Schizosaccharomyces pombe: one gene and its partner. Changing the gene in region 2 together with the main gene of any one other region gives a genetic interaction. Each region holds a gene or a part of one and is shown on either strand. Other genes may lie near its edges.

Region 1 (5,293 bases), 2.9 Mb from region 2:
CATCTCCATGTTCGGCACTGTGTCTCATTTCTAAATAATGTTAATACCTATATGTATGTCCAGCTGCAAACGCGACATACTTGAGAATCTAGCATAGTCATCAACATTGGACCACATAAGTCCTGTCATTAACGAATCAGGAATCTTAGGACGAATTCCAACATATAAATTTGGCCTATACGGACCCCATAAAAACGAATCATTCGCTGCTTTCTCAATGTCTTCAACACTACACGAGACAAGTACGCAGTTCAATAGAAACGATAAGAGTCCAAATAAAATCCATCTCTTATTTCCGCCAAGCATGTCTGACACCATCGTTTGTGCTAGCAAAAGACTGATGATGGCCAGTGTTTTGTTTTGGTTAGTGTGTATTGCATGGCTAGCATGCTTCCTCTGGCATCCAACACATTATAGTGTCTTAACTAGCATTATGAATGCTACGTTAAGTTTTTTCCAAACGCTCACAGCCACACTGCAGCGCGTAAGATTTGGCTGCGTAAAACATTTGGAGCTAAGAACAAAGGCTTACTTTATTTATCAGTTTAACAGAAATTACAAGTAATTAAGTAGTAGCAGTTTTTAAAATGATATTTGTTACAACTTCATTGTATTCGAACATAATAGAAAGCATTTCCATAGTGATATACATTTAATGTAGTTGGGGTTTACGTCCATCAATTGTTTAGTTTATTAGCTCAGTTGTTGAATTTTAATATTAGACCTTTACCTAAATTGTTATGGCTCAATCAATTGCTAGATAAATATGTTTAAGTGGGTTTGAAGCAAAGCTTTAAAGAATCAAGATACATTTGTAGTCAATAAACGGCAAGAAATCCGAAAGATTTCAATGAATAAATGAATAATCATTCAGCTTTTTCCTTTACGTTTAAGGGGAAAAAATTGAAAAAAATTAGATAATAGTGTCATGGTCTGAATATGCATAAAAAATTTACAAAATTTCATGATTAATAGAAATGACTTCCTACACTCCACTGTTAATTGTAAAATAATATAAATGCACACACTTCAAAATAATTGTTTTAACAAAAAGTATCCTAGTAAAAACATGATTGAATAATCCAGAACTTAAACTTCAAAGACTCACTAATCAACAGGTCTAACACTAAAATTAGGCAATGTTGACCAATTCCGAATCGAGCTCGGACTTGACGGCATCCAAAAACTCGAATGTATCAACATAACCATTGGGAGACTTGCTGAGAAGGTAAAGATCCTTTGTCATAATACCCTTCTCAACGCATCGAACACAAGCATGCTCGAGGGCGTTGGCAAACTTAACTAAACGTTCGTTGCCATCTAAACGACCACGATGGGCAAGACCACGAGTCCAGGCAAAGATAGAGGCAATACTGTTGGTTGAAGTCTTCTTACCTTTCAAGTATTGCATGTAGTGACGCTGTACAGTACCATGAGCAGCCTCACTCTCAAAAGTGCGACCGTTGGGATGAATGAGGACAGAAGTCATTAGGCCTAAGGATCCATAAGCTTGGGCAACCACATCCGACATAACATCACCATCGTAATTTTTGCATGCCCAAACAAAACCACCATTGGACTTAATAGCTTGGGCTACCATGTCATCAATTAGACGATGTTGATACCATAAACCTAGTTCCTCAAACTTTTGCTTGTAATCAGATTCATATACTTCTTGGAATGTATCCTTAAATCTACCATCATATTTTTTCAAAATTGTATTCTTAGTGGAAAGATAAAGTGGCATTTTCTTTTGCAAAGCCATTTGGAAAGAACTGTGAGCAAATCCACGAATAGAGTCGTCAGTGTTGTACATAGACATAGCTACACCACTACCGTTGAACTCGTAAACATTGTATGTTTCTTTAGCAGAAGGATTACCTTTAGGGGTGAATGAAAGTTCCAACTTACCGGGGCCTGAAGCTACCAAGTCCGTTGACTTGTATTGATCTCCAAAGGCATGACGCCCGATACAAATAGGGTTCGTCCATCCAGGAATATACTTGGGAATGTTTTTGATTAAAATGGGCTCCCGAAATACTGTACCATTCAAAATGTTACGAATGGTACCATTGGGAGACTTCCACATCTTCTTGAGGTTATACTCTTTCACACGAGCCTCATCAGGAGTAATGGTGGCACATTTGATACCGACATCATTTTTGAGGATAGCTTTGGCTGCATCCACAGTAATTTGGTCGTTTGTCTTATCGCGAGCTTCGATTCCAAGGTCATAATAATCCAATTTAATGTCCATATATGGGAGAACCAACTTTTCACGAATGATCTTCCAAATCACTCTCGTCATCTCATCACCATCCATTTCAACGACTGGGTTTTTAACAGTGATCTTTTGAAAAGATTTGCTTGAAGCCATACGCATATTCATGAAACCACGGCCTGCGGCAGCCAACTTGAAAGGTGCCTTTACGGCAGCACGTACTTCCAACATATTGTGTCAGTTTTTTTATCCTTTAAAGTAAATGAAATATTCGACGAAGCTAAGTTGAGAAGGAGTAGCTGTGCAAATGTCCCTTAAATCCTAGTTCTATCCACCAAACTGCCTCTGTTCCTCACTACTTCTTACAATAGCACAAAGTGGTTGGTTAAGTGTAAGTTACTGATGGCAGTAGTGATTTTGTTACATTTTAGCAATCCTTTCGTTAAACTGAGAAAAGATTTAGTCACTTCTGATATCGGAGATGTGAGTGAACATTTCGCTTATCCATTCGCTCACATAGTATGACACTACGCAAAACTAGAACCGACAAGTCGATCGTAAAATATCTTATCTTTAGATATCCGTTACCTCTGATAGATCTGATAACCCTGTTACCTATAAAATTGAAATCTTCGTTTCTAGTAACTTAACTGTGAAGTGCAGCAGCGTCCTACAAGTGCTTATGAAAATGGGACGTTATAATTAAATATTTAATATAAGCTATATCCACGTTCAAACGTTGTAGCAGATTGACAACGTCGTGATTACCAGTCGAGTTCTTCAGTTTAATCTTTTTGATATCAAAACAACACTTTCTTCATTTTTGTTATAGACTACTTTCTTTATTTTTCCTCATTAGTTGCATCAGCTGCTGTTTGATTATTTTCTGATGGCTGCTCATCTACTGCGTCGACGGGTTGCATTTTTGTGTCTTCCTGTTCCTCACTGGTATTTTCTTGAACAGGCTCGTTTGCTTCTTCTATCGTGTCCTTTTTAACAGAGAGGAAATTTGATTCCACATATTTTAACATAAGGTTAAGCCAATGAGATACCCATATATTTTCAGCATTTTCGGAAATAAGGGCGCGCAAAGCTGACAATAGTAAATTCGTGACAATTTCCTTTTCCTCATTCGCTTCATTGATTAGCGAAGAGTCTTCTTTGTTAGAAACCGAACGCCGCAATCTAGCTGCTAATTTATTAAAAGTGGTGTTAACAAGTGACCACGTATAACTACGAGACCATATAGTCACGTCTTGCTTGATCAACCACTCAATAATAGAGGTAATACTAATTATAGAGTAGTTCAGCATTTTATCTAGCCACATAACTGCGTTGAACGGTTGTAATTTCCAAAATGAAAAAAGTTCATCAACAACCTCTATTTCGGAATCTAATGATTTTCGAGAAAAATGTTTCAATGTATTAAGATGTTTCTCGAACACGTTCAATGCGTGCGAAAACGATCTCGAACCCAAGCTATAAGCACAAGACATAACTAATCGGACAGCAGATGTCTCGGAGTTTTGAATCTCCTCGCTCTGCAAAATAATGTCAAGTTCTTCTAACGGTTTATGTAATCTCAATGCTTCGATAATTTGACTTGACTGTTGATATAGCGGATGAGTCTCATTTTCGTACACGAAATTGGGACCCGACGGTTGTTCGCCAAGCAAACAACGTAACTCTTCAGGGAGTGAGTCAGAAATTCTTGTGTAATAGCTTAAAATAAGTTCCCTAGTAATAGTTTCCCGCATAAAAACTTTTTTTGGATGAAGATCGTCCAGCTCAACGTCAGGAATCCACTCATTCCACTTCCAGTGAAAGTTGAAATTACTAAGGTGATGTGAAAACCAGTCAATAAATCGATCAAGTGTTTGTAAAGGTAAATCAGAAGACATGGTATACATTAGCCGAATGACCCTTCCAAAAGTTGGAGCCAAAATTTTAGGAGCGATACGGCAGCATTCAATCAAAAGCGAATGATAATAGACAGGTTTATACGTAGTATTCTGTGAACCAAGAAGCTCACCCAAAACAGCTTCAACTATGATATCTTCTGCTTTCCAACGTGATTCCGATGGATCTAAATTTGGTAATTCATTTACTGGAGTACCACGAAGAGCAAAAGTTTTGTAGGTAAAATAAACATCTAAATCTGTAAGAACTTGAGCAGCCTCAACTCGGTTAAATTCCAAATGGTTTATAACATCCACACTTATATCACGAAATATGCTGGCTGCAACGTCGGAAGCGTCAGGAGTCGTGCGAATTTCAAAGTTATTAAAAAGCTCAAAAAATCTCTTGAAGGAAGGTAGCTCATTTTGCTGAGGAGTGGGCTGAAACGTCCATTCAGGAATACTTGGGCTAACCGGAACAATATGAACGAAATCAGATTCAAAAAACTTCCAGGGTTGAGATATATAAGGAAAAGTAAAGTCGTTTTCCCGAGATAGAATTAGTTGTTTATAGAGTAAGTCCAATTCCTCCTCTGAAAGATTGTCATGTATTGAAAGGGGATTACTTAGAGTTATCGAAGATTTCCTATGACGAACGTAAATCTCACATTGATCCAGTATCTCATTAGCAAAATCCTTTTTACCGAGATCGTTGTTAGCTGCGATGAAATATGGAAGGTTTATCAAAATTATGCGCAGGAAATTATCTCCCCAGACACTGGGTTTGGTTTCTTTTGAGATAGCGTCAGCCAGTAATGAAAATAGTGGCTTAAGGGTACCTGGTTGAAGTGCAAATGACATGCAAATGAGCATTCGTAGATCGACTTTAGCCTCGTAATAAAGAAAGGAGTTTAAATTCGTAAAATACTGTAAACAAAAATACGCAGCTGCTTTTTCTAAGATTAAAGGAACCCTTAATGAGGCTCTTATAATTAATGTAGCCAAATGAGGTATTTTGACTGGAATGATAAATGCACTAAGGATTAAATTAGTTTTCTGAAGGGACAGTATAAATTATCACTTACGTTGTCTGAATGCAATCTAAGATAGTTGAAATGGTTTCAGGATCATTAGCTTCACGACTAAGAGACATAGCAACATAATTAATGTCATC
Region 2 (4,964 bases):
GCTGGTGATTTACCAAACAGCGAAAAAATCATCTGAGGTAAACTCACGCCATTTTTTGGCATACAAATTTTATCAGCGGATTAGCCATTTACAGTTCAAAGATTACGATTTATATATTTTAAATGGCTCTCAAAACTCTTTAGATATTTGGACTTCTTTTCACATATACCTATTTTCGTTTGTCCATAGAGGCAAGGCTTGGAAATGTACCCAAAGATAGTGGCGAGGTGCATGATAGTGATAACTAAAAATAGGGAATCAGAACGCAATGTGTTAATTTGTTATCGAAATGTAACGAATGTTTATTTTTCGCTCCGAATTCTCCTAAATCGGCAAAATGAAGGGAATAATTGCAAGTATAAGCTTGTATTTTCTCTGTATCGAGTATCTTTCAGACGGATGAGGCTGAATGATCGGCAACTCTCTTGCGTAGAAAGCGTTACTAACGGGATCGGTTTACTGTGCCTTAAACAAGCCGACCAAGTTTGTCTATTTACTCCGACGGTTGATTCCCATCTGTGATTGCATCTTTTATCCTTCATATTGAGTCATCCTGAATGGTCCGCTCAAAGGGAACTTCGTCTATCTCGGTGCGCTTAATAAACGCTTGTTTTCGTGATGAACAAACCCTTTGCAGTGAACCCATGACCTTAATCGTTTCAACTTGACATACGGCCAATGAGCGTAGTGACATTAAATAAGAGTATCGAGTTTTTTCTTCTTTTTCCACTTTTCAAATTAAGCTAAATTCAATGTTTCGTTGAGTTTCTGTATGTAACAGCATATGAATGGCATGTGGTATTGGAAACAATGTGAAAGCGGATATCAATATTGCATTCGTTTAAATTACTGGTTTTTATGACCTCACATACAATCATTAAAACGGCTTTCGACTACATGCGACCAACAGGCTTTCACCATTGTTTTGTTTTTATTCATTTCCTTTTACCTACTGCTATTTTATTACTCGCTGGTATCATTATTTCATGACTACTGGCAATAAGCATATCAACAACCGCCCACCGAATATCACATTATTAAAAATGCTTGATATTTCTAGTTAACAAACTTGTACTTAAAGCGTCACAACCGAAGCAAACCAATAAATAGCGAAAAAGGCTATTCGCCATGGGAGCATTTATTAGAAACGGTGAATTGTCGAACGTGATAGCAGCGCATTGTTAAGTTTTACAAAGATGGTTTACATCGTCTAAAAGCAGCTTGCTAGAAAAAGCATACAACAATATCATAAAAAGCTTTTGTCGGTCAAACCTTGATGGGTTACTTCAAAAGAAAGTTGGAATTAAAGAAAAAGTAGAGGTAAAAACTTTGTTCAAGGAAAGGGGGGAGCGTAAAAAGTATTCCAAAGTACAGGAACGCTATACAATCATGGGATTTAAATCTTAGACAAATACATCAATGCATAACAACAGGATATCGGTTCTCATCAAGTATGATTTCCAAACAGTGTGGATTCAGATGTACTTTATTAGATAAGGTACCAAGATAAAAGACATATTGGGGCATATAATGATTAACAAATTCAATGACTTCTTCATCACTCATACCCTTGTGGATCCGAGCTTTCAAAGCATGCTCTTGCTGCAGTCTCCATCTGTAAACATAGTTTATCTCTTGTGCCTCTAGTTCCACCAAAGAGTCAATTTTTTGAAAGATAGGCTGATAATCTGCAAGCTTTCTGTTTACCCACAGTAAACTTCCTTCAATATTTTGCCAACGTGTTGATCGTGCTCGGACAGACAGCATGCAAGAATCGAGCGGCTCAAACCCAACCATCCATCCTTCAAAAATTACATAGGTAGTTGTTTTAGGATTTGCCTTTTTCCATTGGGATTCATCTCCCCTATCTCCGTAGCCACCAAACTTGGATTTATCGTAAAAAGGGATAGATACCTCCTCATCGCTTCCCTTAACAAATGCATTTAAAACATTATTTAAAAATGTGACATCATGGGTTCCAGCTAAACCACGATGTTGAACAAGAGGATTATTGGGATTATTTTTGGCCAATTCAACTTGTTCTGCGTGCGTGAGGTAAAAGTCGTCAAGTGAGAACTTCACAACTGATTCGTTCTTCCTTGTTAATTCGGTATCTAAAGCACTTGCCAGTGTGCTTTTACCAGATCCTTGAGGGCCGGAAATTCCAAGAATAAAAGGACGACCTTCAGGTTTTGGCTGCTTTTCCAGGAATTTTAAAATTTTGTCGACAATGATTTCCAACGAACTCATATTCCACTTCTATATAAAATTTTTAAATTAAATACAAAACCTAGCTTCCCCTTAAAAACGACTTAATAACATAAGTATAGGAAAGACGTAGGACTAATACTCGAAATGTGAAAGAAAGCGAGGTGCTGTAGCTATATGAAAATTCAATGTTAAGTACCACAGTGACTAGATACTTTCGTAACGACTACCAGTAAAGGACTACAAACACAAAAAGCTTTTTAAAAGGCTAAAGTCGTTATGCAATGGTTGGATTTTACCAACAAAGTTTTGTTACGGGATGTTGTATCACTAACATTCCGTTACGTCTCATTTGTGCCAATATACTGAATGCTTGCGTAAACTCTGTAATACTTGGAAACGGCTTCACTGCGCCTCACTATTTGGAAAGTTGTAACGCTGTAAATGTTTTGTTTTTACCTATAAGTAAATAGAAGATACATAATAAAATTTGGTGATGCTCTGGATTTTCAGGGATAATAGAATTTCTGTAGTTATATTTTCTACAATGACGGCTAACTTTTAAATTGTTTAATCTTGATGCCATGCAGTATAGCTCAAATGCTGAAGAATTTAGGTAATATGCATTTTATACTTTGTCTTTAAATTGTCATACTTGTCTCTTGCGACTTTTATAGCTAAATAATAATATTCCAGTGCTAACGTATGTGTTTTTTCTATAGTAATCCAAAAAAAACACGCAATTTATTGTGTCAGTAAATAAAGTAACTTGTAAAAATAAGTTTAGCTGAAATGTACAACAATCAGTCCCCCATCCAATGCGATAGCAGCCGCAGTTACAAATATTATTTATATTTAATTATTACATTTTGTTTACAGGTACATAATGTTTGTTAACACTTTTTGTACGTTTAATTAAACTAAAAGTATTTATTTTTTTAACATATACTCTAAAAAATTAATTTACTCAAGTTTGAGTTATCAAGAAAATTTAATCTACAATAATTATTTTTGAAGCACTTATTTGTTTTAATAGTATATAGTCTGGTGAAACAATTAGAATTCGTCTGTAAGTAGTAAAAATACAAAAATGTTTCTATGGTTTTCATATCATAAATACTTACACTTCACCCGTTTAACTTAAAAACTTAAGGTAATCCGTAGTACACCAAATTCTTTTCTTTTCTTTTTTTATTTTTTTTTATTTTTTAAAATGTATTTTATTTAAGAAATAATAAATAAAGTCCCTTATCCAATTCCACTAGATATAAATCGTTAGTTTAGAATTTACCAAAATACTTTTCAATAGCTGTCGTATATACATATTTATACACATTTATTACTTTCTTTTAAAAATAACTTATATCAATTATATCGTAACGTAACTGATGAGTGGAATCATTTAAAACAATTTAAGAGAGAAGTTGATATTGGCTGTTTATTTATCCGAATTTTTTTATGTTATAGTTCTACCATATTTGGCGGTTGTTTTCTTTATTTTGATTATTTTTTAAAAACAATTGAAAAAGTTTAGTTAATAATCAAGTAAATCTAATAACTATATATACAGTTTTCAAAGCACAATATCAACTGAGGCTTCGTGGTGTAGTGGTAGCATACTTCGTTTGGGTCGAAGTGGTCAGGGGTTCGATCCCCCTCGAAGCCCAAAGCCTTTAAATTTTTGTTTCAAATATAAAAAAAGTTGATTTGTGCTTGTAAAGTACAAACCGTATAAAAAAAGGAAACCCGTTTAATATTCTGTGTAATGGTTAAAGGGTTGCATAAATTACCGCTCTTTAATTACATATTAAGAATTTATCATACATTGTCCAAGCTCTTCTTGTGCTGAATTTTTATAAGTAACGCGACACTACTTCTTTCATCGTAAAAACTTTTCAAGTAATTAGGAAACTACATTTATGAACCATTTACTGTAAATACAATTATATTTTCATCTGGGAGATTAACAAATATTTTATCACTATTTGAATGCGTCCCATTCCAGTGAAGAATCGCATTGGAAAAAACAACATTGATAATGCAAAGGGACTGAAGGGGAATAAGCTTATTCGTCATTATCATAACCTGTTAAAAGAGAAATCTCGACTTATTGCGTCAAGTGCTCCGATTGAAAAAATAAAAAATGTGGAAAGTGAACTCGAAAATATAGGTATTGATGCTTACCAACGAGCTAGTCGATCCGGTCAAGCGGAAGGAAAAGGAGGGGATTCAAGTAAAATATTGATAAAATGGATTCGGACAACTCCCTGTTTTTCGTATTGCGCACGTCTTAAGGAGCCGAAAGATTTGTTGGAAATTGGCAGTGTTTCTGTTGACAACAAATGTTCAACTTGTGGACTTTTCCGAGTTTCAAGGATTGATTTGCATTCTGTTCATCCCTTGATTAAACAACAGGACTTTCTTGAAAGAACTCCTGAAGAAGGACTTTTTACTGGGATAAGTTGTTCACTTGTGCTGAATTTTGCACCTCCAGAACTCCGAGCTAAAATGTTATTACATTGTACAGGATTGTTAATGCCTCCTAATAAAGAACAGCCTCCTTGGTTATTTTTGGTTTTGCCTTCGCCTTGCATAACAAATTCTCGGTACATGGATGAAAAAACATTACACTCAATTATGATACAGTTTGGATTTATCTGTCGTCAAAAGTCTATATCGAAAAAAATAGCCTACTATTTATATTCTTACGAGTGTTTTCCTATGAAAGAAATAGACTGGAAAAAGAAGATCGTTAA

Evidence for each region.
Region 1: mutations in mug58 (region 2) and idp1 together harm fitness less than expected from each alone (positive genetic interaction), as found in Schizosaccharomyces pombe (one large-scale study listed by BioGRID).

What each region holds. Positions count from the first base shown.
Region 1 is NC_003424.3:3,228,695-3,233,987, reverse strand, and holds idp1 (isocitrate dehydrogenase Idp1), read right to left. Parts: upstream 2,609-5,293; 5' UTR 2,453-2,608; coding exon 1,133-2,452; 3' UTR 1,012-1,132; downstream 1-1,011. Other genes in the region: glucosidase I Gls1, read right to left, coding at 1-30, 81-318; cbc1 (nuclear cap-binding complex large subunit), read right to left, coding at 3,064-5,155, 5,205-5,293.
Region 2 is NC_003424.3:361,353-366,316, forward strand, and holds mug58 (glycerate kinase), read right to left. Parts: upstream 2,506-4,964; 5' UTR 2,251-2,505; coding exon 1,417-2,250; 3' UTR 896-1,416; downstream 1-895. Other genes in the region: protein mug177, read left to right, coding at 205-522; rRNA (adenine) methyltransferase Bmt2, read left to right, coding at 4,198-4,964. UniProt on the Schizosaccharomyces pombe protein: Has a role in meiosis.